Lepisosteus oculatus: one gene and its partner. The protein of the gene in region 1 purifies or fractionates together with the protein of each later gene. This does not show direct contact. Links are inferred from orthologs where the notes say so. Each region holds a gene or a part of one and is shown on either strand. Other genes may lie near its edges. The genes, in order: signal transducer and activator of transcription 1-alpha/beta and pias1b.

Region 1 (8,876 bases):
TCTCAGGTGAAGCTGCTGTACCTTCCTCTGCTGGCGCTGCAGCGGGTGCTGGCTGTCCTGGCAAGTAAACCAAATGTGCTGTTTGTCAGAATGGGGCTGATCTGGTCAATGGATCTGGTGCAGGACTCAGGAGACTCAGAAAAACACTAAGCTGAATCGCTAGGCAAAAATGAAAACCAGGAAGCAGGAGAGCAGGTTGGAACACGGAGAGTCAAAGAGCCAGCAACGATCCAAAACACAAGGCAAAGTCAAATCCAGGAAGCAGGTGAGTAGGTCGGAACACAGAAGTACAATGAGAAAGCAACAATCCAAAACACTAGGTGAAATTGAACAGGTAGGTCAGCAGGTCTTGGTTAATCCTTTCCGCCTGACCATTGGCTTCGGGGTGGTAACCAGAAGTGAGGGAGGAGGATGCCCCTAAAACCTGGAAGAAAGCCTTCCAAAACTCTAGATATGAACTGCGGACCCCTGTCTGAAACAATATCCTTCGGAATGCCATGGAAGTGGAAAACATGCTGGACAAAAAGGTCTGCCATCTCTCTTGCTGATGGGAGGGCTGGAAGAGGAACAACATGTACAGCTTAGGAGAAACAGTCGATGACCACCATGATCGTCGTTTTACCGTGGCTTTTCGGGAGATCTGTCAGGAATGTGTAAACCAGGACGTACTTCTGAACGATGTCCCTAAAAATGTCATTCATAAAGCCCTGGAATACTATAGGAGCATTAGCCAGGCCAAAGGGCATGACCGGATATTCATAATGACTAAGTGTAGTAATGAAGGCTGTCTTCCACTCATCACCATCACGGATGCGGATGAGGTTGTAGGCGCCCCGAAGGTCAAGTTTGGTGAAGACAGAGGCTCCCTGAAGAGATTCCAATGCAGAGTTAATGAGGGGAAGGAGATACCGGTTCTTGATAGTAATCTCATTCAGGCTCCTGTAATCGATACAGGGCTGCAGGGATCCATCCTTCTTCTCCACGAAAAAAAAACCTGCACAGGCCGGAGAAGTAAAAGGGCGAATGATGGATGTAAAACTCCAGGGCATCAGAGTCTTTCAGAGAAAGTGGGTAGGTTCTTCCTCTTGGAGGCAGGGTTCCAGGTAGTAAGTCAATGGCGCAATCAGAGAGACGGTATGGTGGCAAGGAGAGTGCTTTTTGCTTGCTGAAGGCAAGGTGCAGGTCGCTGTCACGGACGTCCAAAGGGACTAACCGTGGGGAGCAGGAGAGCGGAAAAAGACTCATATGCGTAGCGGCGAGACGGGAAAAAGGCCCAAGCTCATAAGTGCAAAGAGTTCAGGAATGCCGTATAGAAACCTATGCCCTCAGGGAGCGGACGTGGGGCGCCCTGGTGCTAGGCGGGTCTCAGGACATCCGAACGTCAATGCTGAGCGAGGACAGAGTGCAAGACCCGGAAATATATAGCCCAAGGGAAAGAGAGGGACAGGAAGACAGCAGACTGGAAACTAGGGACAGGACAGAGAAGGAGCGCCCTCTGGCTGCAGAGGGCGTGACAGTCGCAATATGCAGAAGAAATCCCGATGGATTCATCCTAGGTCATGTGGACAGAGGAAAGTCTGAGAGGCAACTGCAGGCAACGAGGATGACATTTGGGTCCCCAGGCCAGTAGTTCGCTGTTGGACTGGGAAAAGATGGGGTTGTGCATCTTCAACCAAGGGTATCCAAGAACCAGAGGATGGGAAGGAGAGTGGAGGAGGAGGAATTGGAATGCTCTCGGTGTGGAGGGCGCCAATGCGTAGTGTAAGGGGAATTTTTTCCCATTCAACAAGAGTGAGAGGGGATCCATCAAAGGTGAGGAGGCAGATAGGGGGCGAAACGGGGATGCAAGGAATATTAAAAGTGGTGGGAGTCCGGAGTCTAGGAAGTTTTCCTCTGTGCCTGAATCAACAAAAGCCAGAAGAGATTCTTTGAATCCATCCCTGGAAACCAGTGTGGGCAAAAAAAGGCCAGAAGAGGGAAGGATACCGACCTTGTCAGAGGGCAGGGAAGTACAGGGAGGGCAGACAGGGCATGAAGCTCGGAGATGGCCGGCTGCCACGCAATAAGGGCAACATCCCTCGGAGAGTCGTGGTGTCACTCCTCAGAAGACAGACTAGAGAAGGAGGTTGGGCGGGAGGGGGCAGAAGGGGTTTGAAGCCGGGAGCGTTGTTCTTGGAGCCTGATATTAATTTCGGCCAGATGGTAGATAAGATGCTCCAAGGAGGGAAAGTCCAGTGGAAGATATGCGAGGTGGTCCTGAAAAGCGGAAGACAAGCCCTGGCAGAACTGGTGGATAAGAGCCTCTTCATTCCAGGGCATTTGGGAGGCCAAAAGGTGGAATTCCATAGCATAATCTTGAAAAGTCCGGGAACCCTGGGTGAGAGAGACGAGACAGGAGATGGCTATATGGTGGGAGTGGAGATGACCAAAAATGGACTGCATGGCAGCAGAAAACTGGTTGGCATCAGCAGTCACGGGAAGATTCAGAGTGAGGAGGGAAGTAGCCTAGTCCAGGGCTCGACCGGAGAGGTGAGAGACCATGAAGGCAATCTCTCTGTCAGAGGGAAAATAATCCGGGCGAAGGTGGAAGGCCATCCAGCACTGGGTTAAACTCTGGAGTTTAGCTGGGTCCCCCTCAAATTTCTCCGGGATGGGAGGGGGCAAGAGGCAAGCAGCAGCAGCCAGGGGAGGAGCAGGTACGGGAGCCACCGGAGGAGGTGGGGGACAGGTGGTGTGGTCCACTAGGCATTGAACTGCAGCAGTCAGTTGTCCTAGAGCCTGGGACTGCTGTTGGAAAAAAAAGCAGCAGTGCTGTTATGGTCCGCTGGATCCATGAATAGGCTCAGTATTCTGTCAGAATGGGGCTGATCTGGTCAATGGATCCTGTGCAGAACTCCGGAGACTGAGAAAAACACTAAGCTGAATCGCTAGGCAAAAAAACTAAAACGAGGAAGCAGGAGAGGAGGTCAGAACGCGAAGTCAAAGAGGCAGCAATGATCCAAAACACAAGGCGAAGTCAAATCCAGGAATCAGGTGAGTAGGTCGGAAAACAGAAGTACAACGAGAAAGCAACAATCCAAAACACTAGGCGAAATCGAACACGAGAAGCAAGCAAGGAGATCAGGAACCGGAGAAAAGCTAGAGGAAAACGCGCACTAGGGACCTCAAGGAGAATCTGCAATAGTGAGCGGGGAAATGAGGAAAAAGGAGAACTAAAATAGGGACGGGAGAGAACGGTGATTGGTGTGTTACTTGCGGCGTGAGCGTTTGTTACAGGGTGTACGCGTGGGAATGCGGGAAGGAACAGAGACGCGAGTGGAATGCGTAACACCATTATCTGCTGGATAGAAACTTGCAGCTGATTAAATGCATGAGAATGCTGAGAAAGCACCATACCTCACCTTCTGCAGGGTCCATGTTAAGACTCAGTATACCATTACAGTGCAGAAGAAGGGCCCTAAGCAGAATCCTCTGAACTCAAAAGTACCAGCAAGAGTAAAAAAAACATAGGTCAGGAAGTCAGGCCAGGATCAAAAACCAGTAAATCCACAATAACTAAGTCAAGATCCAGATGACAAAGTCAAGGATCAGAGCCAAAAACCTAGAAATGTTGTGAAGCAGGGGACAATACAACTCTAGCTAGGTAAAACCCAATGTTAAGCAAGGAGTGGTGTGTCAGGTTGTCAAGTAGAAAGGTGGAAGAAGGTGTCTGATTAGTTACTTGGAAACTGCAATGTGAAGGAGATGATTAAGGGCGGTGAGTTCTCCGGGGGCGTGACGTAACATTGTGATTCCAATTACAATAGTAGAAGAGGGGAGAGGAGAGAGATGGAATAGAGGTGCTGTTGGTCCTCGGAGAAGCCAGCTAACTGCATCCATGGCAAAAAGAGGGAAAAACTGGCTTGGCACAGCACCAGCCCTAAATACAATACTAAACAGCCCATTCTTGGATTAAATCACTTTTAAGAACTGGGATATCTGAATATAGAATATAGTGTCTGAATCAGGCAAATTTGCATTGTTTGCATATCAGGCTGTAATGCAGATACCGTATTAGTTTTCATTAGGAGACAGTTATAGTTTTAATATTAATCCAAAAGATTGCATCAGCTTTCTGAAACTATCTTTTGGGGTCACCAGACTGGAAAAACAGAAATGCATCCTCATCCTGTTTACACTTCTCTAGTTATATCAGTATGATTACTGTGACATAAAACCAACTACAAAACTAAGTTAAGACACAAAGAAACATTTTAAAACGTTGTATTGTTCATTTGGGAACAAGTAAAGGTTAGTTCATGCTGAAAAAAGAAGAAAAAGTACTGGTTCCTTTCCGACCTACACATGCTGACGCAGTTACCTACTTGAACAATTGTTCATTTATTTCAATTAAATTCGTTATATATCATATAAAATAAAGGGTTTGAATAGAATTCCGGGTCGTGCCATTGCTTTTCCTTGTTCTGTACAACAATCAAAATCCATTATTGTTGAGCCACAACTACACAAGTAGCCTACTTCTATCCACATATAGAACAGATAATTATTGTTTTCATAAACTCAGGTCTGCTTTCATAAGATCTTTACAGCAGCATTACGGCTGGTTACTACTATCAAACATTTAAAAGTCAACACGTATTACGATAACAAAAAATCGATTTAATATCCGTAAAGGAATGCTGTGAATTAAACAATTAAACATTATAACAATGGGGGAAAAAAAACAATTACATATTTTAATTTTTACAAAACGCTCCTCGTTCTGCTTCACCACAGAGCTTAAAAGTCTTAAAAGCTTAAAGTCTTAAAAATCCTGGAGGGAGAAAATAAGCTGCAGCTGCAAAAGCAGCCGCTTGGTAAAGTTGAGACTAACAATCAGAAAGAGATAAAAAAAAACCGTTTGGCTCCAATTAAAGTTTCGTTTCTCTGTTTCCTTTCAATGCAGTGATCTCCCAGATCCTTTCGGTTTCTCGGAAACCTCGTGATACAGCTCTTATGCCAGTCGGCCTTCCTCCCTGAAACAGCTAGCGGAATAAAGCTATCCTTCTCCAGAAGGCGTTTCTAGCTAATACAGCTGTAGCATAGGGTTAAGGGTGTGGTCGGCGTACCGCAGCTAAAGGAAGAAAGATGAACGGCCTCATTTTTTCAAGCAAGGATGTTGGTAACAGGTAAAGGTTACAGATGAAAGCAGGTTTGCTTCCTGCAATAATCCAATTATTTGATCAAGCCACTCCTAAGATCCGAGAGAAATGGTTGTAACACTGTAACTCAGCAGTTTGTTCTAAGATATCAGTGTTTGATAAAGGAATGTCCTGTTTTCTTTCACGGATGCTCCCCTTTAATTTTCTCGTGCGTCGCCGATTATTTGAAGATGTCAGATGCCTTTCCTAGCACAATACTTCTCATGATATTTAAGAACACTAACACATATCTATATTGTCGTCTTTCCCCCAAAACTGTGACTTGACAAATTATTGAAAAACATTTAAAAAATGTAAGCTCAGTCTCAGAATCAATGGGCACAACTAGTGGGAGTAAACATTTCGATGTATATGTTTTGCATTATCTTTTCAATTTCAATACATTCACTTTTAAAATCCCTAACTGTAGATTGATCTGCAAACGGCTACAGAAGAGATTTTCGCTGTTTTAAAAGTAAGATTAAAGTACATCTTTTAGTCCTTTGTGATAGATTCTCATTACTTGCAGAGTTTTGTGATTGTCTTGTATCACCTTCTGAATTTATACATATTTTGATTTAATTAACTACTTCAGTTAAGATGATTTTCGAATGTCAAGCTGTGTTTTCTAGAATAAAACTGTTCTTGAAACACTGTTTCTTAAACTATTTCAGCAAAACTGTAATTTCCTGGAATGAAAAAGTACTGTATGATGCATCATTTGCAAATAAGTAAAGATATTTAACAGGCAAAAGTAACTAAATGTCAGCAAAGAAACATACTGGATCCTTTTTCAGTCTGAAATTTCTTTAGTTCTGAACTAGATGTGTTTTGTACACTATAAGATAACTCTTTACAGGTTTTTGTAATCCTGAACCCAGGAGTCCACTTGGGGGCTTAATCTAAGACCTATAGTGAAACAAAATCCTGAAGGTACAAGTGGAAATTGAGGGAATGTACATTTAAGACAGTGAAAACTGGTGTCTGTTCAATATGTGTTAAAATTTTCTGGAGCAGGCTAGCCAGTTATATAATTGAAGCAAATCTTCTGTGATTCTTTGAAAAACGTCTGGACGAGATCTGCAGATCACATAGCAAGACAATACAATTAATAATAATAATAATAATAATAATAATAATAATAATAATAATAATAATAGCTAACACTTATATAGCGCTTTTCTGGATACTCCACTCAAAGCGCTTTACAGGTAATGGGGACTCCCCTCCACCACCACCAATGTGCAGCATCCACCTGGATGAAGGTGAGCAGAATGGCCTCCTCTGGTTTGTAACCTTTTTATGTACTTATGTTTATGCTTAATCTTATGGTACAATGAAATCTTTTACCAAATTCCAAATTCCAAATTATTTGATATATTTTTAATACAACAATATCATTTACAATTAGGATTTTAATTTTTGTAAATTGTCAAAGAAAAATAATTTGCTAAATTACACCGTAAGTATGCACATTTGTCTAGGTTTCTGCGTCTCACAAAATCTCATGGGAAAGTAAACTTTCTATTTCTCCTACAGGCTGGGGAAATTACGAGGGAGGGTTGACTAATGTTTAGAACAGCTCCTACTCCCTGAGCCTTTAAAAAAAAGTGGGAAAGACAATTTCCTCTTTACGTTGGTTGGCTTTCGAAGAGGAATTGGGTGTTAGTGAGCAAACTCTTATTTGTGATTGGCTGAGAGGCATGCCAATTGTTTGTTTCTGGTCAGCTGGCAAGATGACATCCAGTTAATAAGAACGTCAGAGTTAGTTTCGTTTTTCGAGGTGTTTTGAGTGAGAGAAATCATTTTTCTGAAGTCTACAAGGTTGAGACCAGTGAATGTCCTTTCTTCTGTTCGACGTTTTGTTAAGTGTTTATTTTAAACGGATCAAATATTAAAGGTTAGTAAACAGTTTGATTTAAATACGAAGTTTTATTTACAGGAAGTCGGGAGAGGCTCTGTAGCTGTAGTGATGGACCCTTTACATACAGTACGGTTGCTTTGGAAATTACTGTTGGCGTCGTCATTGCTATACTGTTTTTGATGAGGTTATATATACTGTATATATTTTTACCTTAAGTAGTTATTAACACAACTTCAGGAGTGACAATAGGAGTGTTTTATTCTATAATAATTTTTTTATATGGTATACTGTAGAGATCATACAGTACTGTACACTGGTAATTAATAAAGTTATCTAAAAACACACTCCATGATATACCATAGTTTATCACAGCACAGTCCTATTTAATTATACTAGTAGTGGTTAATATAAAGAATGATATGTTGTAATTATATCGTATTTTCTTTTATATATTTTTGTCTCAATCTTTCTGAATCTTGAAATGATATTCATAAATATTTCTGTTCTCTATTTTGATAAAAAGTTAAGTAAATGTACTTCTTGCAATTTTCGAACTGTATTAATGTATTTTGCTGATGATTTGATCAGGTCTCAAAAATGTTTATACTGCCCTTACATAAACGGCAAGGACTTCTGAAAATGAGAAGTCCCAGATTGCCCTGCAGTTATATTTGAAGTTACTGTATTTGCTAGAGCCTAAATTTCCAGTTGGCCTTTCCGCAATTGGAATTATAGAATAGACCCACCTAGGCTATAGTACTGAGATATCAGACTCATTTTATGGAAGGCCTTGTGTCACAAATTTGATATTTAATGGTGAATCCTACTAGATGGGAGCTAAGGTTTTAGACCCCTAATCTACTGTATTTGTGAAAGTGAAAACTGGCTTTATTTTATTTCAGTGCCCATCACAAGTATACCATTAAATAACATGGGCAGTCATTTGTTAAGCAACAATTTTAAAAGCATGTGTGAAGAACCTTTTATTCACAAGTTTTTACTTGTACTGTCCTAATTGCGCAAACATTTACTAGTCTAAAGTTTTAAAGTTGATTTTCTCAGTCATAACATTGAGCATCATAGTCAAAATGGCTGAAACAAATTGTGTGTGTGGGGGGTCCAAAATATGAATTTCAACTTAAAGTAAACTGTTTTGCACTGTTTTTTAAACTAACAAAATTTTTACTTCTGTCCAGTTATGTCTGTTCTTTAGGAACAGACAGTCTTATTTAGGATGCTGAACTGATTAACTTAATGATGCTGCCTGGTTGTTAACCTGAAGCTTATACTTTTAATGTTTTCTGACCTAATAGATTTGAACCGCATCAAAAAAGGTGTTGTTAATTTGTTTTTAAATGTGTAAAAAATGTATTTTGCACTTTTTAAATCTAGAATTGGAATTTTTTCTCATACATGTACCCAGTTTGGAATAGACAGCTTACTATTTTTCAGATCCTGGTTCATGGCTCAAACCCTGCAGCTGCACACAGGAGAGAAGGAGGAAGTGTAGTAGACTCCTTGAACCCTCTCACTTTCATACATTTCACAGTTCCATGAAGGAGGTTCTGACCAACTACTCCCTTGCTGGCGTTGAGCCAAAAGTTCTTCATCACTTGTGGGATTGCAATCACATTTGGCTGGTGAAATGAAGTGGGTTTGAACTCATGATGCCTGGCTCAAACCTGCATTTGGGTGAACACTTCTGTCAGTTTTTTTAGGGTCATTCTATATGATTTTTAGGGAAAAGATTAGTCTACAATAGATTTGCTGCATTTGTTTTCAATGTGTGTCTACAGCAAGACATTTCCTTTGGTGTTGATTACTGATAGTAG
Region 2 (9,187 bases), on another chromosome or scaffold:
GATTGGGCCCTTCTGTCTTTAAGCGACTTCCCATTTTCTCCAAATGCATTTTATTTTTTAAAAAGCATTTCTTCCAAACTACACATAAATTAATTAATTAAACATTCCACACTAATGCTTGTTGTTCCAGGTATTAGAGCCTTTCTGGTTACATTTTCAACATTTTCCAAATATTGTTCAATTTTTCCAATTGTATCCCCATTCTAGTACAGTAGCTAGTGGCTGAGCACACATACAAAGTGGGACCCGACCCACAGATAAATGAGAACATACACGGTCCTTTAAATTCACGAGAACGCCCAAAATAGATCGAGTGGGTTGCTCGATGCCTGTGCTTCAATGCTCGGTCAGTAAGATCTGCCCACTCACAGTCGGCACAGGAGCCAGGAATCTACCCACTCTGTGGGGGCCGTGGGCACTGCCTGTCACACCTTCACCGCAGGCTCGGACAGTACCCCCTCCTCATCACCCCTTTCACACGGGTCCGACAGCCGTATGACACTGCCATGTAGCTGCTGCACTGTTTCCTGTGAGAGCGCTGCTGTGATTTCTACCTTGCTGATAAGCACCCTTAATGCATTAAATCCATAAATCAAGTATTCCTTTGTATAAAAATGCAAAATTATTTTGGGTTACTTCTTTAAAGAGTGGAAAAATGCATCCATGTGAAGATAACGTATAGACTACAAAAATAAAATACCTATGGATCCACCATAGTAAAAATTACTACAAGGTCATACAAAGTCAAACTAAAGAACAGATTTTTTACCATGTACTTTGGAGAAAGAAATGGCTGACAAGAAATAGAAAAATATTACTCACACTTCCATGTTTTAATGTTTTTTGTCTCCTAATCGGAGCCAAAATATCTAACAAATTCATTTTCACTTGTTTCACTAGCCACAATAACCTAAAAACTTACAGCAAAAATAATTCAATGCACAAACTTTGTTCTATAATTTTAACATCTCCTACAAGTTAAAAGTTAAGAAACAACTTGGAAACAAGTTAAGAGTCCAAATAGTTTCCCAAGATTTTAAATCAAGCGTGACTCCAGAACTCCGAGGTCCCAAGATCAAGTTGAGCCCAACTCACTGTCCAGTGTAATCAAGTCACAACTAAGTACCGCGCTCTGAAGCCCCAGGTCAAGTCTGAATTTAAAACAAAATGTTGAATTGGAACCTCATCCAAGAGTGCAAGACACCACTGGGTATACAGAGTTGCTGGGAGTCAGAGGAAAGGGCACAGAATCACACCTGCTCCTGGGTAGCTACAGCAAGGGGATCAAGAGACCCTACTATTCTCATAATACAATTGCTCCCCACCAAGAGCAAGACATTTCTCCTCAATGGACAATTTCTTCAACACTGGCTCAAAAATCCAACTTCATAAGAAACTTGACAAATTGATTTTAAAAACAGTATTTTACCAAAAACATCTGTTTAAATGAAAATGAAAGCTCCTCCAGACAAGAAATGATATGCCGTTACTAGAACAGTTCACCTCTGAAAAGAACAATGACCTTTCAAAGCCACAGGGCCGCCTGACAGAGTCCGAGATCCAGTCACTCCACCGCTTCACTTCCTTCCTCAGAGAGCACCGACCTGAGCAAACGCTGTACCGCCACAGCTACACAGATACAGAGCACACCACTGCTGTTCTACCCGTGACCGATAGAAACAGATTGCATGCAGATCCAACTCCGTTTTGCCAGAAAACCACATGGGCCCCAAACTGATCAGTCTCCTAAATGAGTCAGCTGCATATCCTTGATCAATTCATTCGATAAGTCATTATTAAGATCAATAACAGTCCTTTAGGGGTCAGGTGTCACTTCCTACAAGATTACTTCCACCATCGCTTAGCCAAAGGTCCAACCTTCGGTCACACTTAAAAACAGCAAGAGTTTTTATATTGTGAATTAATTTTCCAAAAAGTGATGAAGGTACATTACAGGCATCCAGTTTTGCTACTCCCATCAAAGCGTTGTCTATAAATAAAAAGCACAGATTCCCCCACATGTTAAAAACACACACAAGAATACGAGTCTGAAAAACGCACTGCATCTTTAACTTGCCATGTCGGGATGCATCAATGAACTTCTCCTCTGGAGGTATTACCTATCCCCTCGGCTTTATCGCTGTCCACAGACTTGAACACAAACATTACTGTGTCAGGCGAGAGACAACTATCACAGCTTCTGTTGTAGGTTCCTCGGTTCTCTCTCCACCATCCCAGCAGCTCTAGGCTGTAGGTGAGGAGCTGGAGATACACATGCGCTTTCGCCTGCTACTCTCGTTTCCACTGTGCCGGTCTCAACTCTACACTCTCACTCCAGCGTGCTTGATGGTCATCCGATTCAAACATGCGGAACATCAGGTTAAAACATAGCTTAATAAAATTACACTAACGCTAGCTATGTTTACAACCGGCGAATTCAAATATTTGAATGCATCAGTGCAGTCAACTATTACAAATCCAAGAAAATGCTGGATTAAAAAAAATGATTATAGGATTATATTTACAAAGAAAACGTGGATTCGATTTCTGCTTTCGCTTATTATTTTGATGCACATTTGCTCTAAGGGAAACTTTTTAACAAAGGGATATATTCGTATCAAACTTTCCATGCAGCAATGCACCAGCTGGTGAGATGAAGTTTTTCACGGCGAGCCACGATACGGAATGAGCTGCTTCATTCACGGTATCTAGTAAAAACCAACATAAAAAACTTGAACGAGACACACAGCTAACATCGCCAATATCGGTGTGCACAAAGCGCAGAGAACCACTCATTACGAACTCCAGCTCCTACTATCACACACCAGGCAGAGGAGCAGTCGAGAGTCTTCAAAGTACAGCATCTTTTGTTTTCATTTCGCCTGAAAGCAGCTCAAGGAGTGAGCGGATGTTGAGTTATTCCGAGAGTCTCCTTTTCTTTCGGACAGGAAAAAAAAAAACCGCTACGACTAACCGAGCATCGAGAAACACTGGAGCACTGCTAACACCCAGCGATAAAGCCTGGGACAGACAGCGATCGCCTCACCCCTCCCCGATCGAACCACTTCCAGGCTGCGGTGCGAAGCCCCGAACAACGGGTCCGGCGGCTGGACTCGAGAAAACAGCACCGCTCCATCATCGTTTCAGCACACCGTACCTGACAGGACGACAACACGGCGGCGCCAGCCCTCTTTGCCCCGCTATTGTTGGCGATGCAGCGCTCACCTGCGCACGGGCAGCAGGACTCCGCAGGCGGGGAGCTCACTCTGCCAAGCTGCCAACTTTAATTACCTCGGAAAATACCACAGACCTATGGGACTCGGAATCTTCAAAGGCAGAACTGTGGCTACAAAACACAGCAGTCTGAACATCAACAATAACATGTTCTCGAGCATCGCGCAGAACTACAACTGAACTTCGAGTTCTGCAACATTTACACTAACGAATACTCCCCTAAGCGCCTTCTCTGTGAATTAATACACAACAGAGTGTCCTTCTATGGGCTTAATAACAAGAATTAACCGATTATATCAAATGTGATTTAAAGCTGCGCCTTACCTTCAGTTCCGCACTCTCCGCCATCTTGTAACTCTTGGCGCAGGCGTGATCAACCCCCGGCACGTGGGACGGACGTAAGGCACGCTGACGTCCTCACGCAAAGTTTTTTTAAATCTTGGCGCCTTTTCTCCCCAGCGCGTGGCTGCTCAGGGCCGGCTGTGCAACTCGAAGCTCTTTGCAGCCAGCATGAACAATGTAAGCCATACTGGGCCGTAATTATGACAATAAATAAGATTCTCATATGTTGAAGTCGTGGAACTGTCTTGTGTCTCCAGAAAATAAACACATATTTATATAAAACTGTCCTTCTGAGCAAAGATTTAATATGTCCCACTGCTTTCCTAGAGTTTGAGTAATTTCATATATACAGCCAATGAAAGAGATAAACAGCTGAAATGTTCCATTCCAGCCACTGGAATACACTTGGAACACTACAGAATCTTAACACAGCGCTACGGGGTTGTGTAGGGCACAGACACATGTAAATCAATCATCCATTTCCAAAACCCATTTGCCACATTTTAGTAGGCCATATCAACAGTCATATGTGACACTGCTCATTTGACAAAGAACGGTACGCTGAAATCCATTTGAAATGTATGCAAAACTGCACCCACAATTTTTCTGCTTTATGGAGAGTCTTCCCTAGATCCCCAACACACGTTTGCTCATACATACAAAGCAGACATGCCCAATGCATGGAGGAATGTGGCACGACAGGCAAGGCAGACCTCATGGCCTCCTCTATAACCTTTCTGAAGGTGAAAACCAACAGATTATCTTTTTTTTTCTAGTAAGCTACTGTATATGCACCTCTCTACACCTACAGTACAAACCGAACTCTCAGGTTCCTCTTTGAGAGCAAAGATTGTTCATGAATAGATCCAAAAACTCAGCTGCTCAGCTTGTAACTCATTCAAGGCTCGGCGATCACATCTCCCCAATTCTGACACGACTACCTCTACCTCACTGCCTCCCTATTACCCAGCGCATTCAGTTCAAAACTGTACTCTTAGCTTTTCAAGCTCTTCTCACCAAACCCCTGCAATACGTAGCATCTCTCATTACCCCCTGTGTACCCAGCTGGGCTATACGCTCTGCTGAGCCCAACCTTATATTAGAACCCTCTTACAGGTCCGGGCGTCTTCAGGCTCGCTCTTTCACCCACCTTGCTCCTCGGCTCTGGAACTCACTCCCTGCCACTCCGAGAAACGTCAGCTCTTTCACAGTCTTTAAATCTAGACTGAAGACTTCACTGCTTCGTCAGGCTTTTAATCAGCGTCTGCTTCTTCTCCCCTTTCCACGTTTTTTTCTCTCTAACTGCGTTTCGGTTTAATGTTGTTATTATTTTCTCTTTTTCTTCTGTGAATTAAACACGGGCACCACATATACATCCTTTCTAATCTTTATTCCTCGCGGACACTCGACACCCTCTGGTGAATATGTCCCTCTCATCTGGCAAGTGACCCCTGACATGTAAAATATCCACACGACTTGCATTTTCCCTGCCTTTCAGGAAGGTGATAGTGTTGTGAGAATATAAACTTTATCGATTTATGAATTCACCATTTTCAGAAAACAAGAACATGCTGGGGTTTTTTTTTCGTTACAGTGGTTGATAAAGACAACCTGAGATGAAAATGTAGAGTACTATTTCTGATGGCGTGACCAGGAAAGCAGAAACACAATCATCAGATCTGAGGTGTGCAGCTTCTTGAAACCCCTTCTATTCTTCCGAATACTGCAGGAACTGGGAAGGGTTTGTCAAGTACAGGATAATGGAGAGAGCGAAGGACAGAGAGCAAGCCTTGGTTAAGGCATGGCTCCGAAACATTCGCTAAAAAGAAGAGGAGGAAGAGGAGAATGACAGCACAGGGAATTCAGGTTAAGCAGCAGGGGGGTTTCTGGGTCTCTGGCTCCTCTGCTCAGCTGCACTGTGAGCTGTAACGAGTTTCTCCTGCAGAACGATTTCCGTCCTGTCTGGCTGCAGGGGTGCTCAAGAGCTTTATTAGGCCTGGAGACTGAACCAACACAGGGTAGAAATTTGGACATCTTATTAAAAAAAAAAGTCAAGGAACAAAAGTTGAACTGAACTGAAGAGCTTTGAACAGTTCAACGGAAGAACTTCAGATCTTGCTCTACCCCACACACACACACACACACACACACACACACACACACACACACAATATTTCACACTCCTATCACAGTCAGCAGAGACTACGATACCTACAGCACTGGTTTCAGGGGATCATGGGTCGCAGTGGATTATGAAAGTAGGACAGAATCCTGCTTCTCCAATCTCAACACTTACTGCAAGAAAGGAGCAGCTTTGAAGCAGTTTTAACATGCATCTCCTCTGTTTTGCCATGTTTCCTCAGTTTTTTGTAGGACACTATCACAACTTTTGCATGCTTTTAGCACGACTTCAAATGCTACAACTTGCTTGGTTTTTGTAGGAGTTCACTGCAATAGACACACATGCTGGCTGAATTACTGCATTTCATTTCACAGAACACTCTTCTCCGACATGAACAAATACTGCAGGGCACAAGGCTTTAGTGCCGTTTGTGTCCTCGTCAGTGGTGAAACAAGGACCTGTATGTCACATTGAAGTGTTGGGCAAGAACTTCATTGAAGTAAATAATAAATAATCTGTACGCTTCTATAGTGCTTTTCTGGGCACTCCACTCAAAGCACTTAACAGGTAGCGGGGACTCCCCTCCACCTTCACCAGTGTGTAGCCCTCGCCTGCATGATGCAATGGCAGCCATAGTGCACCAGTACGCTCCCCACACACCAGCTCTCAGTGTGGAGGAGAACAGAGTGATAATATTTGGTTTGGCTCTGTACACCAGCACATTGGATTTGAAAGAATGACTATGAGGATAGTCATGAGGATGAGGTAGCCAGTTCAGAGACAGGGATTATTAGAAGGCCAGGGGAAACTTTGTTAAACTCCTACTCTTTAAAAAAAAAAAAAGCCCTGGGACTTTTAATGACCAAAGAGAGCCAGGACCTTGCTTTTACATCTCATCTGAAGGACAATACCTTCTTTATGGTGGAAAAAGTGTCCCTTTCATAAGGTCCCCTTCACTATACTGGGCCAGTAGGATCCACAGAAACCACAGGGTGAGCACCCCCTGCTGGCCCCACTAACACCTCTTCCAGCAGCAACCTTAGTTGTGTGTGTGTGTGTGTCTATTATTTGGATGATTCCTCTCTTCAGAAAAACACAACCTGCCCTTGAATTAAACTGTTCATTTCTTCTGATCTTAAAGTAGATGCTCTCCTTGCTCTCACAAAAACGTTACCACTTGCAGTCAAGAGCTTAAGGACAAGAGTCTCAGAATTAACCAAGAAAGCAGGCAAATGTCTTTCTGCTTAATTTAATTGCAAGAGTATATACAATGTTTGAATAATACTCTCAACATACGGATTCAACTGAAGGTCATGAGATAACCTTCATGTTTTCTGGATATACACATCCATGGATTGTATGTATTAATAAAACAAAGAATAAGAATCCAGCTTTGGAATATTTAAACAGTAGAGACCTTAAATATTTGTGGAAGGGCAGTTTTGGAGCATCTTATATGAAGATGAGGATTATCAGGTCCCCATGAAAGAATTATTCATTTTATCATTAAAGAGAAGGTTCTGGTGTGCCATTGGCCTGAAATACCTACATTTTATTAATTAAACTAAATGGTTAATTGTACATATTCTAATGCACAATTGAAAGCATCTGTTGTGTGTAAAACATCAATTATATGAGGAATATTTTTTACAATCCATAGATAAGGCAAAAAACGTTTGGTACAAATTGAGTTGTAGCAAAGATTGATATTAGAATTATGATTCTAAACATAAGAAATTGTATTTAGAATTATGGTAATACTAACATTTTAAAAAAATAAAAGCTTAAAACGCATTCACAAAGATGCTACTAATGGAATACAGTATTGTATATAAACTCCGTACAGAACGTCTATTTTCTTCCCTTTCATTGCGTTTTGCTGTTTGTCCACCAGATGGAGATCTTGTATTAATCCAGGGAACCCAGCTTAACTGGAGTTGGCATTCTGAGACTGTTGATGTTCACCTACAATGAATACGGTGCTTTTAAGAGCTACTGTGACATTTGTAGCTATACTAAAACATGACGCTGTTGATTCTCTAATGAATTTTGACACGATGATACTGCACAGTAATTTTCGGACTCCTCTGCCGTTTCTGTTCAGCCTTCTCCTACACGCGTGTCTGTTTTCACAGCCATCTTTCCCTTGAATGTTTGCACGACTCTGAGCGGGCTGGGGTGAGTGTGAGGGTCCATCACCTGGTGGAGGGAGACCGGACCTCACGCTCTCTTTCTTAACTGTATTGCGAGGCACGACGGACACTTGCTCATCTCATCCATCACATGGCGAAAATAAATGATGGGGGGGGGGAACGAAGGTCATTTTCTTCTATAGGTTTTTTTTTATTTTATTTATTTTATTTTATCCTTATTGCGTGCTAGTGTGGAAGGGGCATGGACCGGGGATGACGCGGTCTCGGTGGTCTCCCCACTGTTACTACAGCGAGCCAGCCGCGGGGTCAGCTTTGTCCACCTGACATGTCACCCCAAATCGAGGCCGATTGTCGCTTCTTTTTATGTAATTCAACCGGAATACAGGCTTTTAAATAATAATAATACACATATTCCCTCATTCAGCAGGTCGCGCCAGGGGTCTGAAGGAGCACAAGACACCGACCCGCCAGACCCCCTCCGTCAGATAGACTCTTATACTGCTTGGCGTCACGCTCCGCCTCCCTTTCACAAACACACTGGTGGTGCCGGAACACTTTCCACGGGGAGTTTGTGTACTCTCCCGTGTGGCCTCGTGGTGTTTCTCCCACGGTCCAAAGTCCAGTCGTGTCCCGGATAACTGGCTTCACTAAGTGGGCGCTCGTGTTTGTGTCCCGCGACGCACTGTTCCGCCCTGGGCGTATCCAGCCTTGCAAGCGCTTCGAGTGGACACTTAACTTCCGTCAACTGTCATGCCTTTCAGTTTGGAGCGCGTTAAATCTGTCATGGACCTACGTGGCTTTCTGTTCATTCACAAAGAAGCGCACTTCACCAAATAGCCGAAATCAAGTGTAGCGCGGTATTACCGTTTCCAAAACACTTGACAAGATTTCACATTATGGCATCCGAAAAAAGTAAGGATCTAGGGAGTTCCAGTTGTTTAATAAAAAGCGTAGTTTAAGATAGGGGATACGTGTCCAACGTCGGACTCAAATAATTATCTAGAAGGCTGTGATTTAGGTAAACGATGCTCAGGCTAAGCAAAAACCTACTTGTTACGAATGCAAAATCTGATACTTCAATAGAGCGTTAAAAAAATAGAGGTTTAAGTCACGTCATTTAGGTCGTAACCACAAGCCACTGCGAGTGATAGACAACAGGGCTGCTGGGATTTCACCCTGTCCGCGTGTGACGTCATAGAACTCCACAGGTGATCCCGCGCTTCAAAGCAATAATTGCGTCGTCAAATGTCCCACCATAGCGACAAACCGAAGAGTATACTTTTTTTTTACCTGATACAGCGGTGTCACGGGCTATCCAGGACCGGTCAGTGAACAA

Evidence for each region.
Region 2: the proteins of signal transducer and activator of transcription 1-alpha/beta (region 1) and pias1b purify together in Homo sapiens (affinity purification with western blotting; 5 studies listed by BioGRID). This does not show direct contact. The link is inferred for Lepisosteus oculatus from reciprocal best matches to the Homo sapiens genes STAT1 and PIAS1.

What each region holds. Positions count from the first base shown.
Region 1 is NC_090707.1:26,782,978-26,791,853, reverse strand, and holds the start of signal transducer and activator of transcription 1-alpha/beta, read left to right. Parts: upstream 1-5,078; 5' UTR 5,079-5,127; coding exon 5,128-5,168; intron 5,169-6,903; exon of another isoform or gene 6,904-7,080; intron 7,081-8,876. UniProt on the Homo sapiens protein: Signal transducer and transcription activator that mediates cellular responses to interferons (IFNs), cytokine KITLG/SCF and other cytokines and other growth factors.
Region 2 is NC_090700.1:48,158,152-48,167,338, reverse strand, and holds the start of pias1b (E3 SUMO-protein ligase PIAS1), read right to left. Parts: upstream 3,601-9,187; 5' UTR 3,583-3,600; coding exon 3,559-3,582; intron 1-3,558. UniProt on the Homo sapiens protein: Functions as an E3-type small ubiquitin-like modifier (SUMO) ligase, stabilizing the interaction between UBE2I and the substrate, and as a SUMO-tethering factor. Catalyzes sumoylation of various proteins, such as CEBPB, MRE11, MTA1, PTK2 and PML.